Linked DNA regions of Kluyveromyces lactis. The protein of the gene in region 3 interacts with the protein of the main gene of each other region in a biochemical or structural test. Links are inferred from orthologs where the notes say so. Each region holds a gene or a part of one and is shown on either strand. Other genes may lie near its edges.

Region 1 (3,314 bases), on a different chromosome or scaffold from region 3:
GTCCCATCTATTGATTTCTACTTACATGATGGTGTTAGAGCTCGTGGTGCTACTTTAATTCCTGCTTTGTTTACCTCTTTGGTATCGGCTGTAGGACAGGACAACGATATCGTTTTACAATTATGGCAAATTGCATCTAATAAGCTAATTTCTGGAATTATTTCTGAACCGATGCCAGAAGTTACTAAGTCGTATCACTATGCTCTTGTTGATTGTTTGGGAATTGTCGGAAACAACGGATTAAATCAAGAGCAATTGTCACAATTTACACAAGGTGTGAACAATAACTTAACCGACGTCTACGAAAGAACAAAATCCCGTTACGATCAGGATGACGAATACAACGAAGATGTTGATGACGATCTTGATGAGTATACCGATGAAGATTTGCTTGACGAGATTAACAAATCTTTAGCTGCTGTTTTCAAATCAGCAGGTGTTTCTTATCTACAGCAGTTCCAGACTTTATGGCCAATAATACATTCATACTTGCAGGAGACTGAGGTATTCATTTTATTGTTCGCCTTGATTGCAATTGCTGATATGATAGAATACACTGGCGATAACTCTGCACCTTTCAAACAGCATTTCGTTCAGAAAATTAAGGAGTGCCTCACATTCCCTGAACCCTCCATTCGCCAGGGTACTGCATACCTACTCGGAGTATGTGCACAATATGCCCCCAACACCTACTCTGACATATGTTTGGGATCGTTGGAAACTTTATTCCAAATCGTCAACATGCCAGAATCCAGATCTGAAGATAACGTTAATTCCTCGGAAAATGCATCTTGCGCCATTGCAAAGATCTTGAGCAGTTACGGCTCCAGCATTCCAAACTTTGAACAGTATACTGCCAACTGGTTGAAGACTTTCCCCGTTATCCACGATGAAGAATGTGCCGCGTTCAATTATAGAATGTTGGCACAATTGATAGACCACAATTCGCCTGTGATTCAAGGTAACACAGCCGAAATCGTTGATTATGTGATACAAGCCTTACATCAAAAGTCTATCGGTGGAAAAAATGCTACTGCTGTGGTAGAATCTGCAAAAAAACTACTAAGTACTATCCCACAGGAACAAGCATCTGCTCTACTTCAACGATACCCACCGGAAATCATGCAAACCATACACAAATGGTTCGCTTGAATTATGATTCGTGGGTTTAATTTCCCAAGGCCAATTATCAGATATATGTACATGTTTAGCCCTCTATACTGATTTTTATGAATTAGCATATGAGTCTTCTTATACTGCATAGACATTTCTACTTATTGAACGGAATAGATTCAAGCTTGTATCAGTTTTGCTATACTATGCAACCCGCCTGGCACCAACAATTTCCATTATCATTATTCTTAATAGAGAACTCTTTTTTTCTTTTTCTTGAAATCCTGTGAAGAAAAAAATACTGAAAAGAATTGTTAAAGCGATGAGATGAGATGAGATGAAATGAGACTGAAAGTATTTGATAGCAAAAAGATTCATTGTGAACTGTCCCCATTTGGCAGAGCACACTTTTCATTATCATAATATAAATACATTATTCAGTAATTTCAAGATGGGTTTGGCAGCAGCAAGGAATAAACAAAGGTTTGGATTGGATCCAAGAAACACAACTTGGAGTAACAATACATCAAGATTTGGACACAAACATCTAGAGAAACTAGGATGGAAACCTGGTTCCGGTTTGGGATTAGTTCCAGATTCTACAACATCACATATCAAGGTTTCTATCAAAGATGACAATCTTGGGTTGGGAGCGAAACTCAAAAAGAAAGAGAAGCAAGATGAATTTGATAGTGGTGAATGTACGGGATTGGACGTCTTCCAAAGATTACTTGGAAGATTAAATGGTAATGAGCAGACAATTTCAGATGAATTGGATAAGCAAAGAACCGACAATATTATAAACGGGAAATGGGGGATACACTTTGTGAAGGGAGAAGTCCTTGCAAGTACATGGGATGCTGAAAATAAGCAACTCATAAGTTATAGTATGGGTAAGAAGAGACCGGTAGAGGGATCGTCTGATAGTGAGGTTAGCGATCGGAAGAAGACAAAGAAGGTAAAAAAAGAGAAGAAGGTTAAGAAGGTCAAAAAGGAGAAGAAAGAGAAGAAAGAGAAGAAGGACAAGAAGGAGAAGAAGGTTAAGAAAGAGAAGAAGGAAAAGAAAGAGAAGAAACTCAAGGATAAACATTCAAAAGATACCAACGAAATTACTCGAGACCAAATGCTGAAACCTAGAGATTCAGCTGCTGTTGTTCCAGATGCCGTATCTACTAGGCTCTCGGTCCGCGCGAAATGGATCAGACAAAAGCGGGCTGCAGTGATGGATGCTAAAGCTCTGAACGAAATATTTATGGTAACAGACTGATAGATAACATACGTATACTTTTATTTAAGATATCAAACTAATATTACACTGCATTCGACAGCAATGAAAAAGATGGTGCACACCATAAGCGCAGCAAAGGAGGTCCCTGATTTTCTCACTTCCAAGTTTGAAGCAGAAGAAGATGATTTCGATGATGATGAGGAAGAGGAAGAACTTGAGCTAGATCCACTGCTACTGCTGGTTCCAGAACTGGAACCTCCGGAGGCATTTGCAGTTGCTGATGATAGGACAGCATTACAGCTTGAGGCAGTGCTTGAAGCTGACACAAGTGTAGCTGAACCGCTGAACGAACAAGCAGATTCGTTTTTATCATTTTCTTCGTAATACTTGTTCAAAAGGTAGGAAAGTTTAGTTTTTGAGTCACAGAAAGAGTATGCCCCATATTTACCAGTTGTTGCATTGTTTGTGATATCTGAACAATCTATGTCCGCACATACAATACCAAACAAATCAGCATAATCTTTAGTAGCAACATCGTCGGCTACTATACATGAAAGACCTTGTTCAAGACATTCACAAGTTGAATTGTCTGGAGTTGGGGGTAAATCTGTCGAGGCTTTCCAGTATATACCGGTGGAAGGACATTCTAAACTGGTGGTAGTGGCCTTATCTTTAGTAGCGGATGTTGGCGAGATACTGGCAAGGGCGGATTTTAGATTGTTGTAATCAGTTAGGGTTTTTACCTTATCGTCATCAATAGAAACCAATCCATATTCGTTGTCCTCCTCAAAGTACATGTAAACAATCCCACCTGACCAAACATCAGTCATATCATCACCATATAAAGAAGCAACATCCTGAAATTGTCTAGGTTTCACCTCGTTACAACCATATTCTGAGAAGAAAATTGGAACTGAAAGGTTGGAAAACTCTTTCGTTCTATCAGCATAACCAGATTCTTGGAATGTAGATT
Region 2 (4,532 bases), on a different chromosome or scaffold from region 3:
AAATCATTTTCTGGCCTGGTTGTCAAAAATTGAATAATTTGACTATCTCTGAAATAAGTATGAAACTGATCCCATTCATTCTTACCTGAAATTAACATACCGAGTAACATTGACGGATCTGTTTCTGATATATGCAATTTGTTGAATTTGTGTCCGTGACAACTTCGGTAAAATTCAAGATCATCCATCATTAAAGAAGATTGCTGAGTGTTGTGTGGATCAAGGTAGAAAAGATTTTCATTTTGATATCCAAAAAAGTATAATGATGACGAGGGTTTACCGCCTGCGATCCCGACAGAATATGGTGATGAGAGAATCTTGAATATGTCTTTCCAGTATAAGCTGTTGATTTTGTCAACACCCAACCTGACAGCAAACAGCAGAAGTAAATTAGCATCCCTATCCTTATGAAAAATTCTTGTGACCTCATCTTCGTATATATCTGCCGACTGAGTTGAAATTATACAATTCTTAATTCCACAAAGGGGAAACCCTTCAATCAATGTTTTTATGCTTCTGGCTGTTGCGCTTGGCCCAAACCACTGCCCAGGTTTCATTCCAGATATTTTCTCTTCTGCTTTGACAAAGTTGTGTAACGACAAAGGATATTTGACATCGTCTTGAAACCAACGGATCAGATTTAACTCATTATCATCTATTCTTGAAGCATTTATTCTGAACTCCCTGGCAAGCTTGACTCTTTGAATGGCATTCGCTAAAAGAGCCTGCCCAGTGCGTATCATACAACCCCAACCAATATCTGAATAAAAACTGTCAGGATCAGTTAAAGCATTTTCTAATGTGTTGATAGGATTATCTCTAAAAAAAAGGGTAAAATTGATAGGAGATGGTCCATTCTCATTTCTGCGGATAGGGGTAAACTGTGTGCGGTATGTGAAGAACACTCGTGAATGTACGTCAGACAAAAGTCCAGGATTTAATGAGACGATATTTATCAGGCTTTCCAAGGCCGAGTCATCTGTTTCCACATCCGTTCTTGATTTATTGTTAAGGGGAGCGTATTCTTTGCCCAATATGAACACGGTGCCATCTCGATCAACATCTTCCACTATACCTAAATGTTGTGATATCCTTGACAAGAACTCCATATTTGCATAGGGATGGCTGGGTTTGAAGATTGAGCGATACGTTTTCCTATACTTTCATGCACTTTGTACTCACTTGCTTTTTACGATGCTGATCATAATTTGCAGAAACTTATATTTCTAATATTAATGAACAATAATCTATATGAAAAATGCATTTAAAACCATGTAGAAAATAATACTTCATAACAAGAACGTAACTCTAAGGTAAGCCTGGTACACCCCTTGTTGCAGCTGCTAGGAATTTGAAGCAGTAGGTCATCGTGATAATGGCAAAGAGGCATAAACATTATAATGCCAGAGGTGGTGGGAAGTCAAAAAGCAAGAAATCCAAGCCACATGGTGAATCAAGGCAAAGAAAGAATCATAGGGGAGGTACCAGTATCAACAGGAATAGATCCGAGTTGTTACTAGGAGGTGGTGACCTGATGAATCCACATCAAGTTGAAGATTATTACTTTGGATCCACTGCAAAAAAGAGTTCATTAAGATCTGGTGGATTTAGGCCTGGAAGATTGACGGAAGCTGATGAACTCGATACTGGCAGGTTGCCATCAAGAAAACGTCCCGTGGAGTTTATCAAAGCAAAAGAACTCTATGATCCTTCTCATGACCTAATATTAAAATTGGTGAAAAAGAATCAACATTTTGACGAGCCAAACTCTGACGGTTACAACTCCTCGCAAAGCGTATCCCTGAGGGAGGAAGAGCAAGATGGTGAAGATGAACAACAAGACGTTGATACTCAGGAAATTCCAAGTAAAAACACAACTGTCAAGATACGATCTGATAATGTGGTTTCTGAAAATGGAGATTCGGAATCAAACAGTTCAGCGAACGACGCTGAATTGTTCTATGTAGATATGGAAGGAGAAGAAAAGACTGCTGATAATTATATTAAAACTGTAGATGTTGATGTACAGGAACGGTCATTAAAGCTTAATGACTGTACCGAATTTCAACCGACATTGAGGGTAGGCAATGTGGAACTTAATCTCAAAGACGGGGGGTCTGGCTCTATTGAAGTTGATAAACCAAAGAGTTCATACCATCCATTTCACAGCTATATTCAAAATGTGATGGAGAATGTACAAAATTATGACTCGGATGATGACTTTGATGAGAATGGAAATGACGTTGAACAGAGTTTTAGTATAAGTTCAGATTATGAATTTGAATCCTCGGAGGAACTAATAACAACAGGTGGTACGATCGAACAGTTTGATAGTTCAATGAAGTCGTTAACAATTGAAGAAATTCCCGGGAAAACAATCACTGCATCACTTACAACAAAAGATATATCACAAGGAAATTCTGATAATAGCTCTGGCGATGAATCATTTGGATTCTGTGAGGATGATTTTGAAGGTTCGATAGGAAAAGTGTTTGTTTCCAATATTCGAATCGGAGCTGGGACTCATTCTTATCATGTCTCATGTCATGAAATATACGGAGATAGTGAGCCTAGATGGGTAGATGATGAAATGATGAATGAAATAATTGCCGAAATGGGCTTACCTGAACACCGATTTAGAGCTTATTACAAACATCTACACAAGTCATTCATTGAAGAAGAGGAAGAGCCAGAGGAATATGCTGATATCCCCTTTGATGATGATGACAGTGATGATTCTACTGCGGATCAATGCGAACCTTTCGCCGAAGATGATCTCGGTGAAGATCTTGATGATCTCGTGTCTTACGCTCTAAAATACAATAAGCAGCGAAAAATTGAATACCATACTACTTCATTGGATATTAGGGGGAAAGGAAGAAACAAGCATTTAATATTCGATCAAACAGCAGGAATGGACGAAGACATCAAGCTCATGCTTCAAAATAAGTTTGCCACAAGACAAATAAACAAAACCAAAAAAAGAAGAGCAAAAGAAGATTTCTTGTCTCAGTCACATGCAAGCTCTACAGATCTTTTAATGAAATATCCTTACGGTCTACACATTCAAAATATAAAAGACGAATTTGATGCGTTTTACCGTAACGATCGTCAATCCATTACATTCCCACCTTTGGATCCCCACGGTAACAAAATCATCGGCAAATTTGCATACAATTATTTTATGAAGGCTTCCAATATTGGTAAAGGAAAATCGACCAAGGTTTACGTTGAGAAAACCAAAAAGACAAGGTTCAATAAACCAGCATATCACATTATCAGCCAATTACTCAGAAAACGACCTGTATTTATGAGAATAGATCAAAAAGCTCCGACTGACACACAATCCACGTTCAACCGTACTGTTCGCTTGAAAGTTTCTAAAGAAAACTTCAATATTAGTGAAGGGCAAATTGTGGGTGAAGATGCACCAGAAATTGGGATTGACAATATTGGAAGAAGAATGCTTGAAAAGCTAGGATGGAATATCGGACAAGGGCTCGGTGCCCACGGTAATCAAGGAATTAACGAACCAATCTTGGCCAAGGTGAAGAAGAACAAATCAGGTTTACGCCATACCTCTGAAAATCAACAATGACGGTAAAATACTGCATTGTCTTGTTCGACAACGCTGTTGAAAGACTGTGTTTCTTGATAAGTGTATAACTACATATACATATAGAGTATAATTGAATGCCCTTGGCCAGTATGGTCTATTTTTTTAACAATATCTAGAAAAGCGTGCACGTATGCCGTATCTTCAAAAGTTATGTTCGGTGAAAACCCTGGGAGCGTTTTGTCCGATCCCAAAAACTAATTTTTAGATTGATGTCGTTTTATTATATTAACCACAAACACGATTTTTAACAATGCCATGATAAAAGTACCAAAAAAATAAAACGTAAACAAACATAGATGAGCAGCAATCGATATTAATAAAAGATTGCTTGAAAACTAGAGCAGTTCGTCGAATATTAAGCACAGCCACATACTGAGACATTGAGTCCGCAATGCTTTCTCCAACAGGAAAAAGAAGAGGATCTTTCATTGGAAACCAAACAGACGCCAAACAAGAAGAAAAGTTTGATTATACAGATAGTGAATTTGATTTAACGGTCGATAAGCAATCTTCTCAATCTCCGCTCAAATTTCATGATTTTATGGACAGACTAGTCGGAAAGAACAAGTTACTTGCTCAAGCGGAACAGTACGATAAAGCGAGAGGTGTAATCATCCCAAAAAATGATAGCTCGTTTGAGAATGAGAACAATGTGCAGGATTCAAAGAGCGAAGGAAGAGTGCAGGTTGATTCACCAATATTGAAGGAACAAGATCTGAATAAAGCATCAGAATCTAACCTGAGTGAGCGGAGGATAACATCGGTCGAATATCCCAAATTGAATAAGCAAATGCAATTTCATGATTCTGCAGCACAAGTGTCTGCGATGCCGTATATGCCAAATCCTAAAGGCACAACCATTGAAGAACACCTGCTGGTTCAATCAACTCCACTATCAAAAATTAAACAGCAT
Region 3 (4,783 bases):
ACCGAAATCTAAAAGTTCAATTTTTTTGGTTTTGGAGTTGTATAGAAAATTGGCCCAGTTAGGATCCGTTTGCATGTATTTGAATTGAGCAATCTCCTGTAGACACAATCTCATTATGTTATCACAAATATAATCCCTGACTTCTTGTGGTGTGTTAACCGGAAGCTTCGTGATTTCAGTACCTTTCATTCTCTGCATAGTTATGATGTTCTCTGTCGTCAGTTCATCATATACAAACGGTACCTCGAAAACAGGGTCGTCTTTCAACAAACTAGCAAAATGCTTCAATGCATTAGCCTCTCTATGATAATCACATTCCCACTTTAATTCTTTACGAGCATTATCAATGGTTTTATCCAAAAACAATCCCTTTGGTAATAAACTGGAAGCAGTTAATAACATAAGAAGATTGTTTAGGTCGCTGTCAATAGAGTCTTTGACTCCTGGATATTGTATCTTCACGACACATTCCTCGCCGTTGTGCAAAACAGCATTATGAACTTGACCAATGCTTGCTGCAGCGATAGGAGTCCTGTCGAAACTCTTGAATTTCTTTTCCCAATCAGAACTCAATTCTCTAGCCAGTAGCCTGTCCAACTGTCTTGGAGGCATATAATTAGCACTGTTCTGAACTCTTGAAAGTATCGTGTATAATTGCGGAGGTAAAACCTTCTCATCCTGGAATGACATTAGTTGGCCCAACTTTAATGCTGCTCCTCTCATTTGAGAGAATTTATTTGCAATCCTTTCAACATTAGAATCTGATAACAGTAAATCTTTAAAACTTGATGATTGGCCACGACTCAGCTGAGTGATACTTTGAGATGCAGCAGAAATACCCACACTAGCAGCTAGGTGGCCGTAATGAAAAAGCCGAGAGATACGTGATGAAGGGACTTCTGAACTTTCCAGTTTATTAGCCTTTTGTTTGTTCACCAATTTATCCTCTGGAATAGCGTCAGCTGCTTTATTAGAACACCTGTGATAAGATGAAAAATGTCTCACATTTTTTTTGTTCTTGACTGAGCACTTGCTAAGGTGTGCTTTTTTAGAAGAGTGCCCTTTCGTAGATTTTCTGACGGATTCAGAAAGTTTACGGGCATGTTCCCAGTCCTTGTCGTAAAACCATTGAAATTTAGACAGTACCGGTCTTGTCAAAGTGGAAGTTTTTAGCCAAATATCAAGAGACTGTCTACCAATCGAGGCAGAATTTTTTACCACGTTGCAGAAGGACTCTGATAAACAGATAGCTTGATATAGCCCTTTTCTCGACATTGAATACAGCGATACTTCTCGATATCAATTAATTCAGCCGAAGAACTATCAGATATCACAAGATCAAAAATAAAGGGTGAAAGTATTTGATCTATCCAATGATACTACGAGTCAATGGTCAAATTCATGAATATACAGCGTAATAAGAATGGATTAAGACTCTGTCTTTACTTTATTACCTTTCCTTATTTCATGAGAGAGTCGAATCGTACAGATATCTTGCAGAATAATCCATCTTTTGAATTTCAAATAGATGCTTGTTTGCTTGCTTGCTCTTGCCATTCTAACCTTTGTTATCCGGGTAATGATGGAATTGCGATTTTGACATATGGACGTGTAGTTTTTTCTTTTTTAAAAATTTTAATGCAAATTGTAACATTAAGCTCATCTCATCTCATCTCATCTAGTGTAGTTCAATACTAGAGATAGTAGGTTAAGTGGTTATAAAATCCCCTGAATATTAGATACTACTGCTGAGTTTGGTTTACTCCGTTAGAGATTATTCGCATTACCAGTTGCAAAACATCAAACGTTGAGTAATTGACGATGGGCAAAAGAAGGTTTTCAAACGAGCATGTGTCTGCTGTTGAGACTTCTATTCCGGAGCATGCAGCTGAAATCGCAGAAAAATTAACCAAAGATCACCCTCCACCAGCAGCAGAGCCTTTAATTCATCATGATTCTGGTGAGTTCAGCGGGATGCAACGCCATCACACTACTGCGGCCGATGCCGAAAGATTGGAAAATGGATCAGTTAATCCATTCACTGGTGGCTCACTATCAGAGAAATATTTCGGTATTCTAAAGGTAAGAAGAGACTTGCCAGTGCACGCTCAAAGAGATGAATTCTTGAAGATCTATCAAGAAAACCAGATCATGGTTTTTGTTGGTGAAACGGGTTCCGGTAAGACCACTCAAATTCCTCAATTTGTGCTGTTCGATGAAATGCCACATTTACAAAATACTCAAGTTGCTTGTACGCAGCCTCGTAGGGTTGCTGCCATGTCTGTGGCACAGAGAGTTGCTGAAGAAATGGACGTCAAACTAGGCGAAGAAGTTGGTTATTCCATTAGATTCGAAAATAAGACCTCTAATAAAACTATCTTGAAATATATGACTGATGGTATGTTGTTAAGAGAAGCCATGGAAGACCATGACTTGAAACGTTACTCTTGTATCATTTTAGATGAAGCACACGAACGTACTTTGGCAACAGATATCTTGATGGGTCTTTTGAAACAGGTTATTGATCGTAGACCTGATTTGAAGATTATTATCATGTCTGCTACTTTAGATGCTGAGAAATTCCAAAGATACTTTAATAAGGCGCCACTTTTAGCTGTCCCTGGTAGGACACATCCAGTGGAGATCTACTATACACCAGAATTCCAAAGAGATTATTTGGATAGTGCTATAAGAACTGTTTTACAGATCCATGCTACGGAGGAGAAGGGTGACATTTTGTTATTCTTAACCGGTGAAGATGAGATTGAAGATGCTGTAAGGAAAATATCATTAGAAGGGGATCAGTTAATTAGAGAGCAAGGTTGTGGTCCTATCTCTGTATATCCATTATACGGTTCTTTGCCTCCACATCAACAACAGCGCATTTTTGAACCTGCTCCTGAATCCCATAATGGAAGACCTGGTAGAAAAGTCATTGTATCTACTAATATTGCAGAAACCTCTTTGACTATTGACGGTATTGTGTATGTTGTTGATCCTGGTTTCTCTAAGCAAAAAGTTTACAACCCAAGAATTAGAGTTGAATCCCTTTTGGTCTCTCCAATTTCAAAGGCATCAGCTCAACAAAGAGCTGGTAGAGCTGGTCGTACCAGACCTGGTAAGTGTTTCAGACTATATACTGAAGAAGCTTTCAAAAAGGAACTTATCGAGCAATCATATCCTGAAATTCTCCGTAGTAATCTTTCTTCGACAGTCTTAGAACTAAAGAAACTAGGCATTGACGATTTGGTGCATTTCGATTTCATGGACCCTCCTGCCCCAGAAACTATGATGAGAGCCTTAGAAGAATTAAACTTTTTGGCATGTTTAGATGACGATGGTAATTTAACACCTTTGGGTAGATTGGCTTCTCAATTCCCTCTTGATCCAATGCTTGCGGTAATGTTGATTGGATCCCCCGAATTTTCTTGTTCCGAAGAGATGCTAACGATTGTCGCCATGTTATCCGTACCTAGTGTTTTCATTCGTCCTTCGAAAGATAAGAAAAGATCAGATGACGCAAAGAACATATTTGCACATCCTGATGGCGACCACCTAACATTATTGAATGTCTACCATGCATTCAAGTCAGACGAAGCTTATGAGTACGGGATCAACAAGTGGTGCCGCGACAACTTTTTAAATTATAGATCTCTATCTGCTGCTGACAACATCCGCAACCAATTGGAAAGGTTGATGGTTCGTTACAATCTCGAGTTGAACACTACAGATTATGACTCCCCTAGATATTTCGATAACATTAGAAAAGCGTTAGCTGCAGGCTTCTTTATGCAGGTCGCAAAAAAACGATCTGGCGGAAAAGGTTATATCACAGTCAAAGATAACCAAGATGTTTTGATACATCCTTCAACTGTTTTGGGCCATGATGCCGAATGGGTTGTATACAATGAATTCGTTCTAACCTCCAAAAACTACATTAGAACTGTAACATCAGTTAGACCTGAATGGTTAATAGAATTAGCACCAGCTTATTATGACCTCGATCACTTCCAAAAAGGTGACATTAAACTATCGTTAGAAAGGGTAAAGCAAAAGCTCGATAAAATGGTGGAGCTACAACAAGAAAAAAAAAAAAGTGCGAAATCTAAAAAGTCTAAGAAATAACCAAGCATATAGATGTGTAACTTATATAATAAGATTAACCTTAGAATCAGCATGATAAGTCTTATTGTAGAAGTATTGTGCGGTATTATTAGCACGCGACTCAAAGTCTACGTTTTTTTTGCTGCATTTTATTGAAATTCGGTATGGTGTACGTTTTATATTCAACCCATAAGAACTTCGCTTATGATATTTCAGTGTAAAAAATATAAAATCAAATCTCTAGGAGTGGTTTCATTGCAATGGCGCATATAGTATCTGTGTTGCATATTTTCTTTTGTATCTAACGATGCTAGCAACACATAAAGTATTATGTTTAATAGAAGACGTTGCTAAATGATTAAGAACGACGTGGTTAGGAATTGGCAACGCACCTGAATTATTTTCACTACCTGGTTCAGCATTTTTGTTGTAATTATTGAGAATAACATTCTCCAACTGAGGTGGAAGTTGTGGAGGAGTTAACCATGACATATTTTGTTGATTGTTCTGTTGCTGGTCTAATGTGAGATAATACTGTTCCATCACCGAAGGATCTGTAAAGACAGCAGGGATATCCTGAGTATACTCATAATCGGTCTTTAGCTGTTGTTCCTCTTTGAAACGGGTGTATCCGTTTCCCATATCATCAGGGTCTTCTTCAATATGCAAAGCAAGCTGG

The links. The genes of interacting proteins can lie anywhere in the genome.
Region 1: the proteins of PRP43 (region 3) and PXR1 are reported together in a solved structure, tested with the Saccharomyces cerevisiae proteins (2 studies listed by BioGRID, with this or other methods). The link is inferred for Kluyveromyces lactis from reciprocal best matches to the Saccharomyces cerevisiae genes PRP43 and PXR1.
Region 2: the proteins of PRP43 (region 3) and SQS1 form a complex in vitro, tested with the Saccharomyces cerevisiae proteins (2 studies listed by BioGRID, with this or other methods). The link is inferred for Kluyveromyces lactis from reciprocal best matches to the Saccharomyces cerevisiae genes PRP43 and SQS1.

What each region holds. Positions count from the first base shown.
Region 1 is NC_006039.1:1,220,968-1,224,281, reverse strand, and holds PXR1 (telomerase inhibitor), read left to right. Parts: upstream 1-1,564; coding exon 1,565-2,380; downstream 2,381-3,314. Other genes in the region: importin PSE1, read left to right, coding at 1-1,152; KLLA0_C14113g (uncharacterized protein), read right to left, coding at 2,413-3,314. UniProt on the Saccharomyces cerevisiae protein: Involved in rRNA-processing at A0, A1 and A2 sites through its action in U18 and U24 snoRNA 3'-end final trimming. Negative regulator of telomerase through competition for binding to EST2 with TLC1.
Region 2 is NC_006040.1:1,646,574-1,651,105, forward strand, and holds SQS1 (Sqs1p), read left to right. Parts: upstream 1-1,375; coding exon 1,376-3,598; downstream 3,599-4,532. Other genes in the region: cysteine protease ATG4, read right to left, coding at 1-1,109; CNM67 (Cnm67p), read left to right, coding at 4,011-4,532.
Region 3 is NC_006038.1:40,463-45,245, forward strand, and holds PRP43 (DEAH-box ATP-dependent RNA helicase PRP43), read left to right. Parts: upstream 1-1,821; coding exon 1,822-4,125; downstream 4,126-4,783. Other genes in the region: protein kinase COQ8, read right to left, coding at 1-1,275; KLLA0_B00583g (protein kinase subunit beta), read right to left, coding at 4,357-4,783. UniProt on the Saccharomyces cerevisiae protein: Pre-mRNA processing factor involved in disassembly of spliceosomes after the release of mature mRNA.